Linked DNA regions of Coturnix japonica. The protein of the gene in region 2 purifies or fractionates together with the protein of the main gene of each other region. This does not show direct contact. Links are inferred from orthologs where the notes say so. Each region holds a gene or a part of one and is shown on either strand. Other genes may lie near its edges.

Region 1 (5,157 bases), on a different chromosome or scaffold from region 2:
ATGGAATGCTAATATTCTCATGACATCAGAAAGTCTAAGAATGAACTTCTCTGAACTACGCAAATGCCTTTTGCTGTATATGGTACTTAACCAATCCTGAGGAGATTAAAAATATCATTGTCCTCCCGAATTCACCAATGTCAATGTATTTCCATGTATTTTAATAGATATAGCAGGTGACTGAGTCTCCCACGCAGCCTTCACTTAAACAAGTGGTTTTTAAAACATAGCTTTTAATATTTCACTATTGAAAGTGTGCTTCTTTCTTGCAAATTCTGGACTGATGTCCTCTCTCTTTTGCAGTAATTTCATGTGCTATTTTTTGAAATGTATGCTTTGTTATCTCTCCATTAATAATTCATACCAGTTCTATGGTTCTTCTGAATCTTGAGCATGAAAATGATTAGGAAGAAAAAAAAAAGACGTTTGCTGTACATACGCCTCTAAATGCACAGGATACTGCAAAATGCTGAATTGAACGCTATTCTTCTTACCTGAAAATAGTTACAAGAGATAATGTGCTGCAACTGATTTTTTTTTTCTTTTTTCTTTCTTTTTTTTGCAGGTTAGACTATTGTTACAAGATCCTGGATTACAAAATTTCAATGCCATTAACTTTTAAAGTAACATACATATATTTTAGAATGATACACTTCTTCAGTTATATAGATTTCAGCATCTGCCATCATAACAAAAGATGAGAGAAAATGAAAAAACAACTTTACACTTTTTACTTAAAAACCACATAAGAAATGCAATACAGAACATATTGGGAATTCTTTAAACAAACAATATATAGTGTTAACAATACACATAAACATTAAGCAGCTAAGTTTGCCCTTTGTGATACTGCTCCAGCAATTGTTTTGTTCCTTGTAGATCTACTGCAGTTGTAGGACTACAACTGACAATGTACAAAGAGATCAGCAGTTGAAAAATTATTTGAACAGTATCTCCCAGAAGTTTTATTTCTTTGAGTAACAAAAATGGAATTTTTTGTGCTCATTAAAAAGCTATCGTAACTTGAATCCCAACTTCCATATTATTTACTTTCCCACAGAAAAGCGTTTATATGAAGTTAATACTGCTATTTCTTAAGCTACCTAACAAAGCAGGTAACTACCGAGTTTCCACTGTCAAAAGGCTAACAGCAAATCCTATATATTTTCTTCTTACGAAGAAAAGCATTCTTTGAAACTGCTGCTAAAGCACTCTATTATATTTTAAAACTCAAGTAACAAGAACAAATCTGCAAGGCATTTCTTTCACCAGGGAACCAGCCCTATTACAATATTACAAAACTAGACTATTACAGAGGGCTTTCCTTTTCCCTATTCACCTTTTAACTCTAAAGATAAGTAAGTCATATTTGTGTTCAGAAAAGACTCGATGCAAGCACGTAGAAGTTTGTGGGCAATTCCTATTCTATCATGTCCTCAGCAGACTTCTCCTTAGATAGGACCTGGGATTCTCCTTCTTCAATGTAAAAATTTGCATTATTTTCCAAGTCTGAACTTGAGATCAGCATGATCTTTAAATATCTGCTCTACTATGCAATTCTACAGTGTTCTTTATACATCTTTCCACAAAAAAAAAAAAACAAAAAACAAAACACAACTATTTCCTATGGATTCAAGCTGTCACATCAGCACCACCCATTTTTGGGCTAAGCCTAATTTGCAGAACACAGTCCTTAATACTGTCTATTGAAAGAGGCTCTTAAGTGAGTGTACACAATCATTCAGGTTGGAAGGAACCTCTGGTGATCACCCAAATCTCCTCAAGTATGGTCACTAGACCAGGCTGTGACCAGTTCAGTATTGAGGATCTCCAGGGATGGAGACCACAGTATTAAAAGAAAAAAGTGTATTACGTTGTCTCCATGCCTTTTGTCCTTTTTGTCCTGACATTGGGTGTTATTAAGAAGAGTCTGGCTCCCTTCTTTCCATTCCCTCCTTCCAAGTACTTGTACACATTCATCAGATTCCTCTGAGCTTTCTGCATTCCAGACTGAAGAGTTCCAGTTCTCTGTCCTTCACAGACTTGTTCCATCAAGCCACTGTCTTCCTTCTACTGGGGTGACCACAACAGGACACAGTATGCCAGATGCAGCCTCACCCATGAGGAACAGGGAAAAAGGATCACCTTCCTCAATCTGCTCACAAAACTTCCCAGTGCAACCCAGGAAACCATTAGTCTGTTTTGCTGCAAGGACACATTGCTAGTTCATGGTCAGTTTGTTGTCTGCCAGAAACTCAAAGTCCTTTCTCAACAAAACTGCCTTCCAGACAGTGAGCCCAAGACTGTACTGGTGCCTGGGTAATACTTCGGGGTGCAAGATTTTTACCCATTGCCCATTGAACTCTGTTTTTTCATTCTGTATGATTTTTTTGTTTGTTTGTTTGTTTGTTTTGGGCCACCAAAGCCCCTCTTAAGACCAGCACAATCAACACGGTGTCATCAGCCACTCCTCACATTCCTGCATGACATGCAAACTTGCTGAATGTGCATTCCATTCCATTCCCCAGGTCTTTAACAAAGATGTTGAATATTACTGTGTCTGCATACACCACTAGTGACTTACCTCCAAGTAGACTTTGTGACCCTGATAACAAAACCCCTGTGCCCACTCATTCAGTCTCTTTTTAATTCATCTCACTGTTCACCTATCTATCCTGTACTTTTCCAATTTGCCTACTAAAGTCAAGGTAAAGAACACAGACTGTTTTCCCATTATCCACCAAGCTAATCACCTCACTGTAGAGTGAAATCAAGTCATGATTCCATTTTGCATGATTTCCATTTTGTAAATCTATGCTGACCTTAAATCACATTACTGTCTTCCATGTGCTTGATTATGCTTTTTTGGAAGATATTCTTTCTGATCTTCCCAGGGACTGCATTAAGGCTGACTGGCTTGTAGTTCTTCATATCTTCTCTCTAGCTTTTCTTGAAGACAGGAGTGATATTTGCTTCTTACCAGTCTATAGAAACCATTCTCAAATCAAAAGATAATTGAGAGGCCTTGCAATGGCATTAGCTTCCTCAGCGCTTCTGCATGCAACCTGCCAGGTGTCATGGACTTTTGTACATCTAGTTTAAATGCACCTCTGTGTTGGTTCACCACCACTGAGGTTACCCCTTCCTTGTTTCAGGATTTCCTTCTGGTTTCAGGAGGCTGGGACTCCTGGTCAAGACTGTGTTACTGGTAAAGACTGAGGCAAAGAAGGCACTGAGCACCTCAGCCTTCTCCACATTACTTGCCACCCAGTTTCCCTACCCCATTTAACAACCGGGGCCCACACTTGCTGTACATGTACAATCCTTTCTTGCTGTACTGTCTGAAGCATGAGGAACTACTCAACAAATGTCTACTTTCTCCTCAAGCTACATGTCCTTTCCTAGACTTGTAATGCAGATCCCTCGCATTCTGATGAAATAAAGAAAATACTTTCATTTCAGTGGGGGGCAATTTAGGAGACCAAGCCAATTCTCCCAGTCTATGCTTCGTGCAGTGGAAAGCAAAAAGCCAAATAGTATCTTTACTGTTTTGTAATTTAGAATATTTGCACGTGTATATTTCTACTACCACATCCAATTTCTATATAAACCATTTCTGTTACAGATAGAGTAGGGAAATAAGGAATAAAGTACTTAGTGGCTTGAGTACTTTATCAGAAATATGCATTGGCTTTGTAAAAACTGACTACACTTCATATTAAGCAAAATACTGAGTAAGCTTTTCTGATTAGGAAGATCTAATATAAAATATGAGTGGTTTTCCCTGTAAATTATACTGCAGAAGTCATCTGTATGACTTGTACTTAACTCTTCTCATGCAGCATTACAGTATTTCCCCCCACCCAACCCACAAACAAAACAAAAAAAAACAACAAATATTCCACTAGTTGTTACACATTGCACTTTTAAAGCACAGACTTGCCAGTCTTCTGCATTTCCAGTGTCCTGCTTAAACAGTTGACATAGTCCTCGTTTTATGAAACTGGAAGATTCCGCCTAAGTACTTCTTTTGATGCTGGAGAAATGTTATCTGGAAAAATTACTTCAAACTCTATAATTAAGTCTCCACGTTGGTCAGGATTTTTGGGAAATGGCAAACCGTATCCTATAATTCTTCTTCTCATCCCAGGCTTTACAACTTCATTTACTGTCATGGGTATGGTTCTTCCTTCTATTGTTGGCACATTGATAGAGCTGCCACACAATGCCTAGAGAAAGATTATATCATAAGAAAAATGGGTTGGTCAGAACATTGCTTGTACCTACAATTGAATTTTATTTAGAAAAGACTAGCATTGTAAACAAAATACTTCCACTGTAAAGTGCAAAGATGTAATATTAGTAAGCCCAGTATATCTTGTCAAAATTCAAATAATCTTATGCAATACCCACTGAAGAGAGTGAGTGAGTTTATATATCTTTCCACGACTTTATCAAGTAATATGGTAATTAAGCACAGAGCAAACATACAACTCACAACTCTCCAATAACAAATCCCTATATACTGTAACATTTCTACTGGGAATTTAGAATCTTGTTCAATTTTTTGATCACAGTGCACAGGGATTTTCTCTAATACTTCCATCAACTTACGTTACATCAAATAACACAACATTTTAAATGTCTTTAAGTAGAGGCAATCAAATTTGACAGTTGTCTTAGGAGAGTATTTGTGATGGTCAAAGAAAATCAAACACTATTTTTGGAGTACCAAAATGAAAACATCAGGAAGATTAGGTTTTCTCCTGCTTTACCCAATGGTGTGTTTTCATTATTAAGACTTCTGATAAAGACTCTTCCAGCTTCACTTCATCCTATAAGCTTGGTCTATACTGATGCATGTTCACTACTACATCACAATGCAATAAATCTACATAGGCTTCTATCCATGAAGGAACTGTACTACCCACATCATCGTACTACCCACATCATCGTCCTCCTTTACCAAATGAATTTTCAGATAGGAATCCTTTAAGAAGGGAGCTCATGATATGCACAAAGAGCTCAAAATGCAAGTAAAAACTTGCTCCTTCCACCTAATACTAATTGAAAGAAAATATAAAACATACTCAGCTATATTAAATTCTTAAATTATGAACATTGCACAGCTTCAGATTCTGAAGAACTCTACTTGGT
Region 2 (5,771 bases):
TCTTAAAATAAATAAATTCATTTTTAAACAGAGTCTGCTTTTCCTAAAGCTGATGCTTGTTGTCAGGACGCCATAGAGCAATTCTCACCTATTGCATTACGTTCATTTGAGATACAGTGCACTTATATATACACAATAAATCCAGTTTGCATCAAGCTGCCATAAACAGTTTCTATATCTACACATGATGGTGCAAGTTTGTGGTGTCCTAAAGGCACTTGTCTCTCACAGACAGCACTGTCTTATTTAATCAGTTTAAAATAGATCTAAAAATACTTTGTTTAAAGTTTAACATCCGAAATGGTTTTTACTCCATAAAGAGGCACAAATCATCACCTACATTGATTCATTAATTCAACATGAAAGAGCGAAGTGCAAAGTTTCTGTAATTAAATATATTTCTCTGTATTAATTCATTTTAATGCCATGCTCAAAATAAACCCCAAACAAAACAAAACTCAAAACCATGCTATAGTAGAAATGTGATGGGTGCTAGCAGCAACAAACGAAAAGGTAGTGCATAAAGTAGTACAATCGAGCTGATTTACAAAGCTCATTTATAATTAAGCAGGGAGTTACAAAGAGAGACGTATGCCAAAAGCCTCTTCCAAGACATGCCTAAAGCCACACCTGACCAGTATGAAAGATCTACGTGTATCACACAAACGTACATCATTAGGGATGCCTTTATACTACCTAACACTACAAAAATAAATCCAAAATCCTCATCCGCTTCAAAGTGACTTCTGCTCTAATCAAACAGGGGAAGGCGAGTCAAAACCAGATAGAACAGCAGAATTTAAAAAGACCCCTAAGTAGCATTAAAAAAAGTTCATTGCAGTTTTCAGGTTCTAATGGATGGCAGTGTGAAATCCTCAAAACCCAATTCATCTGGCCAGTAAATATCTACAGATTGTCCTCTTTGAGTCCCAGCTTCTTAAAGCAAAGAATATTTGAGAGTTTCCACCAGCAGAAAAGCTGTTCTTGCAAATGACAGTTCACAGGTGCCATACAAAAGTGGCTTCGCCTATGTGAATTTGAAGCTGGCATTGTACTTCTGCCGAGCAGGAAATCTAAAGAGATCTAAGCAAGCAGAAGGTGTGATGGATGGAATAAAACAAGCACAACCCAAAAGCCAGCAAGTTGGTTTTTTTTTGTTTGCATTTAATACTTTTCATCAAAGCAGCACATTAAGAGTATATCCAGACTGCTACGATGCTGCTGGATGGAGCCTTGTGCTTAAACACTAATTTTCACGCCCAGCTTTCTTGAAACAGCTCTGCAGTACTGCACCACAAGGAATTTTCGGCATCTTTGAAACATTTGCGTTCTCTGAATGTTACACCAGGTTATTAAAACACAGACAGATTAAGAAAAAGAAGCCGTTCAATCAACACTTAAGCTGCTCCTTCAGAGAATCTCATTCCATTGCTTATAGCAGTGACCAGAATTGCTGATGGTGTACTGACAGTTGCCATGGCAAGTGGGTGACTGCGTGGGATAGCACACATATAGCCAAGGTAACTTTGTATGCAACCTCCGTGATTTAAGCAAGCATAGAACACTACTTTCACTATGTGCTGCCAGTGTAGCTATCATCCTACATGAAGTGCCGCAGGAAAAAAAATGGTATTTTATGTCAGGCCACGTTTCCTTCAGTACTCCCATTCATCTGTTTTCATGTCCAGGTAGTAAAGGATATTCTGTGCAAGCTTTACTGCTTGCTTTCTGGCAGCCTTACATCGCTCGTCACCTTGTGGGTCGACGGCATCAAGTGCAAGAAGTTGCTTTGTAAGGAGTTCTTCCAATCGCATGTAGTTCTTATCTGTTCTATTTCCATCAAAAGAAATCACCTCCTGCTGAATCTGAGACAAGTTTCCAAGCACAGTCCAAACTGCTTGATGAGACTGATGTTCTGCAGCAGTCTGCTCTGCGTACATTTGCCTTTTTCCAAGTGCTTCCTTTAAATCAATGTATGTTATGAGAGTCTGTACTTCTATCACTGCTCTTCTCCTGGCTTCTCTAATACAAGGGTTTTTTCCCGGACTCACTTCATCTAACTGGGCAATTAATCCCTGCAGTTCTGCTTTGGATCCCAAATACAAATCAGAAGCATTCTCTGTTTTTAAAAGCAAAGAATTAACTTCCTTCATTTTCTTGCGTATTTCTTCTATTTTTAGAATGGACTGATTTTGGGCCAGATCATAAGCATGAGTAGTATTTGCTTCTTCATCCAAGTCCAGGTATTTCTGCAATTTATTGATCTCTTCCACTACTTCCTTTCTGTAATTCCTTATTTCCATGCGACCGCAGACATCCAAAGCATCCAAATCAGCGACGAGGCCTGTGAGGACGCAGGCTAAATGCCTGCAGGTATCATTACTACTCACTCCCATCAGAAGCGCAATAAGGGTTCCTCTGGCTTTGTTCACCTCACACATTACAGAGTTAATTTTGGAGACAGAAGGATGCGCATCATTAGAGAGTGGCAGGGAGAGCTGTCTCTTGGCGCAGCTCTCTATGATCTCCTGCACGGCGCACACTTTAGTCAGGGTGCGATATCTCGCTTTGCGCAAGGAAACCTTCCCTCCGGTCTTCACCTGGGTGAGCCGCAGCACGATGTCCTGGATGCCTTCTTCAAACTCCTCGTTGATGCTGTTGCCTCCTTGGTAGAAAGGCGTGATCTCACGCTCCACCAGCGCCTGTGCCTCCTTGAAGATGGCCTCGATCTCCAGCCTGCGCGGGTGGTTGGCGTTCTGCTCCAGCTCCTTCAGCAGCCGCTCGGTCTCCTGGGCAGCGCGTTTCCTGGCCTGCTGGATGTCCCCTTTGCCCTCAGTGTCCACAGAGTCGATCTCAAACAGCTGTTTGGTGAGGGATCTCTCCAGCTTCTTGTAGTCCCGGTCCGTGGACAACCCGCTGAAGACTGCCACTTGCTGTTCGATCTCTCTCACTTCCTTCTGTATCTCGTGCAACCGTTTGATGGCAGGGTGTTGGTTCCCCATATCCATGCTCTGCTCTCATCCACCTTCAGTCGAACTGCGATGCAGAGCGAAGCGAACACATCGGTTACCCGTGTTTACAACTTTATATTACGGTCTCACCGACCCCTATCAGCGGGCACGCAGCCGCCCCTCCTTCAGCCGGGGTTGAACCCCCCAGCACGGCGCTCCCCTCCCCGCTCACAGCCGCTCCTTCCCACCGCTCCGGAGCCGAAAGCGACGCGTTCCCCGCACTCCCCCCCTCCTTCCCGGCTCACCCTGCAGCCGCCCCCGGGCTGAGGCACGGCGGCCCGGCTCGGCGCTGCGCCACGGCCGAGCGGTAGCGAAGGGCTCGGAGCCCTGAGCCCGGCCCCGCCCCGCAGCGCCGCCCTCGGCTGCGACATCGCCGTAAAGCGCGGCCGGCGGCGGGGATGGCGGCTGTAGGGGTTGTGCGGGCCGTGAGGGCGGGCGGCTGCCGCTATGGATGCCGCTATGGATGCTGCTATGGATGCTTCTCCTCTACTGTGTCCTCCGGCGGCGGGGAGCGGCCGATCGTCCCGCTTGTAACACAGAGGCCGCGGTTCTGTCCCCCCGCCGGCTCCCGCAGGGACTGGATCGGGCCCCCAGACAAGCGCTCTAACCTCCGCCCCGTCATCTTTTACGTGTCGCCTCACGAGACCCCGCTGGAACGGCGGCTGCGGGAGCTGCGGGAGGAGACACAGGAGTGGAACCAGCGCTTCTGGGCCCGGCAGAACACCGCCTTCAGGACGGTCAGTCCGGAACCGCTGGGGGGCGGCATCGGGCCGGGAGGAATGGGGGGGTTTGGCTGCTGGAAGCGGTGCTGCCGCAGGGAAAAAGCAAGGAAAGCTCTGCTGTAGAAGCACCTGATGGAGCTGTGTCTCTGTTCGTTGTAGGGTGGTTGGAGAAAATGGCATTTGGGGTCCATTCTAACTCAGATGGTTCTTTGATGTGCCCTGCTGCACTGGCAGTTGAACCTTTTATCAAGGCTGAAAGCCTGTGATGCTGTGTGTGATTCTGAAAGCAAGGACACGTGCTTTCTTTTGCGATTGCACCTTAAGGTCTGGAGCACTTCTATGAAGGAAAGCTGAAAGAATTGGGCTTGTTTAGGTAGGAGAAGGGTCTGGGGAGACCTCATTGCAGCCTCCCAGTACTTGAAGAGAGGTTATAAACAGGAGTAGGAGTGACTTCTTACACAACCTCGTAGCTTGTCCTATCACTATTGGGTGCCCCATCCCTGGAGGTGTTCAGGGCTGAGTTGGATGGGGCCCTGGGCAGCCTGGTCTGGTGAGGGGCAGTCAGCCCATAGCAGTGGGGTTGGAGCTCGCTGACCTTCCAACCGAAGCTCTTCTATGACCCTATAGGTTAGGAGGAGTGGGAGTGATTCAGTAATTCACTGTTATTTCTGAGCTTTGATCACCATATCCTCCCTGACTTCTGTAGAACTGAGTTTGAGAACTCGACGAAAAGGTAATTGTTCTGTACACATCCAAATAATGACAGATTTGAAGGCCACGTGTTTATCTGAATGCAGAAATGCTCAGTTATGTGGTATGTGTTGTCTTCATTGTTAGTTTGTTTGTTTGTTGTTTGTTTGGGCCTCACTGCTGTCTGAGCAGAGAATTTCTTTCTAACATCTAACCCAAATCTTCCCTCTTTCAGTTTAAAGCTGTTCCTCCTTGTCTTATCACTATCAAATTATGCAAAGAAAAGTCTGTCTCCTTCCCAATTACAAGCTCCTTTCAAGTACTGGAAGGCTGTGGTGAGGTCTTCCTGGAGCCTTCTCTTCTCAGCCTAAACAAACCCAACTCCTGTAGTCTTCCTTCATAGGAGAGGTGCTCCAGCCCTTTGGTTGTCCTCATGGCCATCTTCTGGATCTAAGCAACAGAGCTTTATCGGTTTAACACTAAGTCACTGTGCTTGGGTAAATGTTTTGTTGATGTTTCCAATATTAATGAGTGTTGTTTGTTATTTCAGAGGGTATTAGGCACTGAGCTGTTACATGATTTAAAAACAGTGGTTTACTTCAAGGACCGAATGCCTCAAATTCTAATGTGGAAAAACCATCTTTTAGGAAAAAGAAGAATTTATCTACTCAAGGCTGAAAGCCAAGGGTCTGGAAACGAGAGATGAAACAGGTTAGTGAGATCTTTGTACAATTCAAGATACGTTATGAATTCTGTTTAACTTCAGATTTTGCTAGTTATGTGCTGTGTGTTCTGTCACAAGTGATTGTTCAGAGCATGCACGTGAAAAGTGAGATGTTTTGTTGCAGTGTTTGTCCCCTAATTCCTCCCTGCCCAGCTGGAGGGTATGTGATGAAATCCCGTTCAAGTGATTTAATCATTCTGCAGCCTAAGGAGGAACAGGCTTTCTTCTCTCATGCTTCTTAACCCAGTGAACTAGCTGAGCTGAACATACTAGAGCACTTGCCTTAAGCGGATGCTGTGGTTGGGCAAAAAAATGCATGCTCTTCCATCAGGTCCATGTTAAATTAATACAGCATTTTCTATGAGGTAAGAGGTAAGACAACCCCTGAAGAATAATTATGGTTTGGATTGGACTGGACCTCAAAGATCACTTCATTCCAGCCCCTTGCTGCAGGTAGGGCTGTTGACCAATAAGTCAGATGCTTGATCAGGCTGCCCAGGGCTCCATCCAGCCTGGCCTTTATGAGCTCCAGGGATGGGGCACCCACAGCTTCTCTGGGCAAAGAGACAACAGCTGTTCTCTGACCGTCTTTGAGCACAGTTGCTGTAAAATACGTGCCTGAGA

What was found. The genes of interacting proteins can lie anywhere in the genome.
Region 1: the proteins of BAG5 (region 2) and DNAJB4 purify together in Homo sapiens (affinity purification with mass spectrometry; 4 studies listed by BioGRID and IntAct, with this or other methods). This does not show direct contact. The link is inferred for Coturnix japonica from reciprocal best matches to the Homo sapiens genes BAG5 and DNAJB4.

The regions. Positions count from the first base shown.
Region 1 is NC_029523.1:16,608,122-16,613,278, forward strand, and holds the end of DNAJB4 (dnaJ homolog subfamily B member 4), read right to left. Parts: intron 4,230-5,157; coding exon 3,996-4,229; 3' UTR 709-3,995; downstream 1-708. UniProt on the Homo sapiens protein: Probable chaperone. Stimulates ATP hydrolysis and the folding of unfolded proteins mediated by HSPA1A/B (in vitro).
Region 2 is NC_029520.1:45,843,458-45,849,228, forward strand, and holds the start of BAG5 (BAG family molecular chaperone regulator 5), read right to left. Parts: upstream 3,392-5,771; 5' UTR 3,257-3,391; intron 3,037-3,256; 5' UTR 3,009-3,036; coding exon 1,656-3,008; 3' UTR 1-1,655. Other genes in the region: cytochrome c oxidase assembly factor 8, read left to right, coding at 3,410-3,748, 5,071-5,134. UniProt on the Homo sapiens protein: Co-chaperone for HSP/HSP70 proteins. It functions as a nucleotide-exchange factor promoting the release of ADP from HSP70, thereby activating HSP70-mediated protein refolding.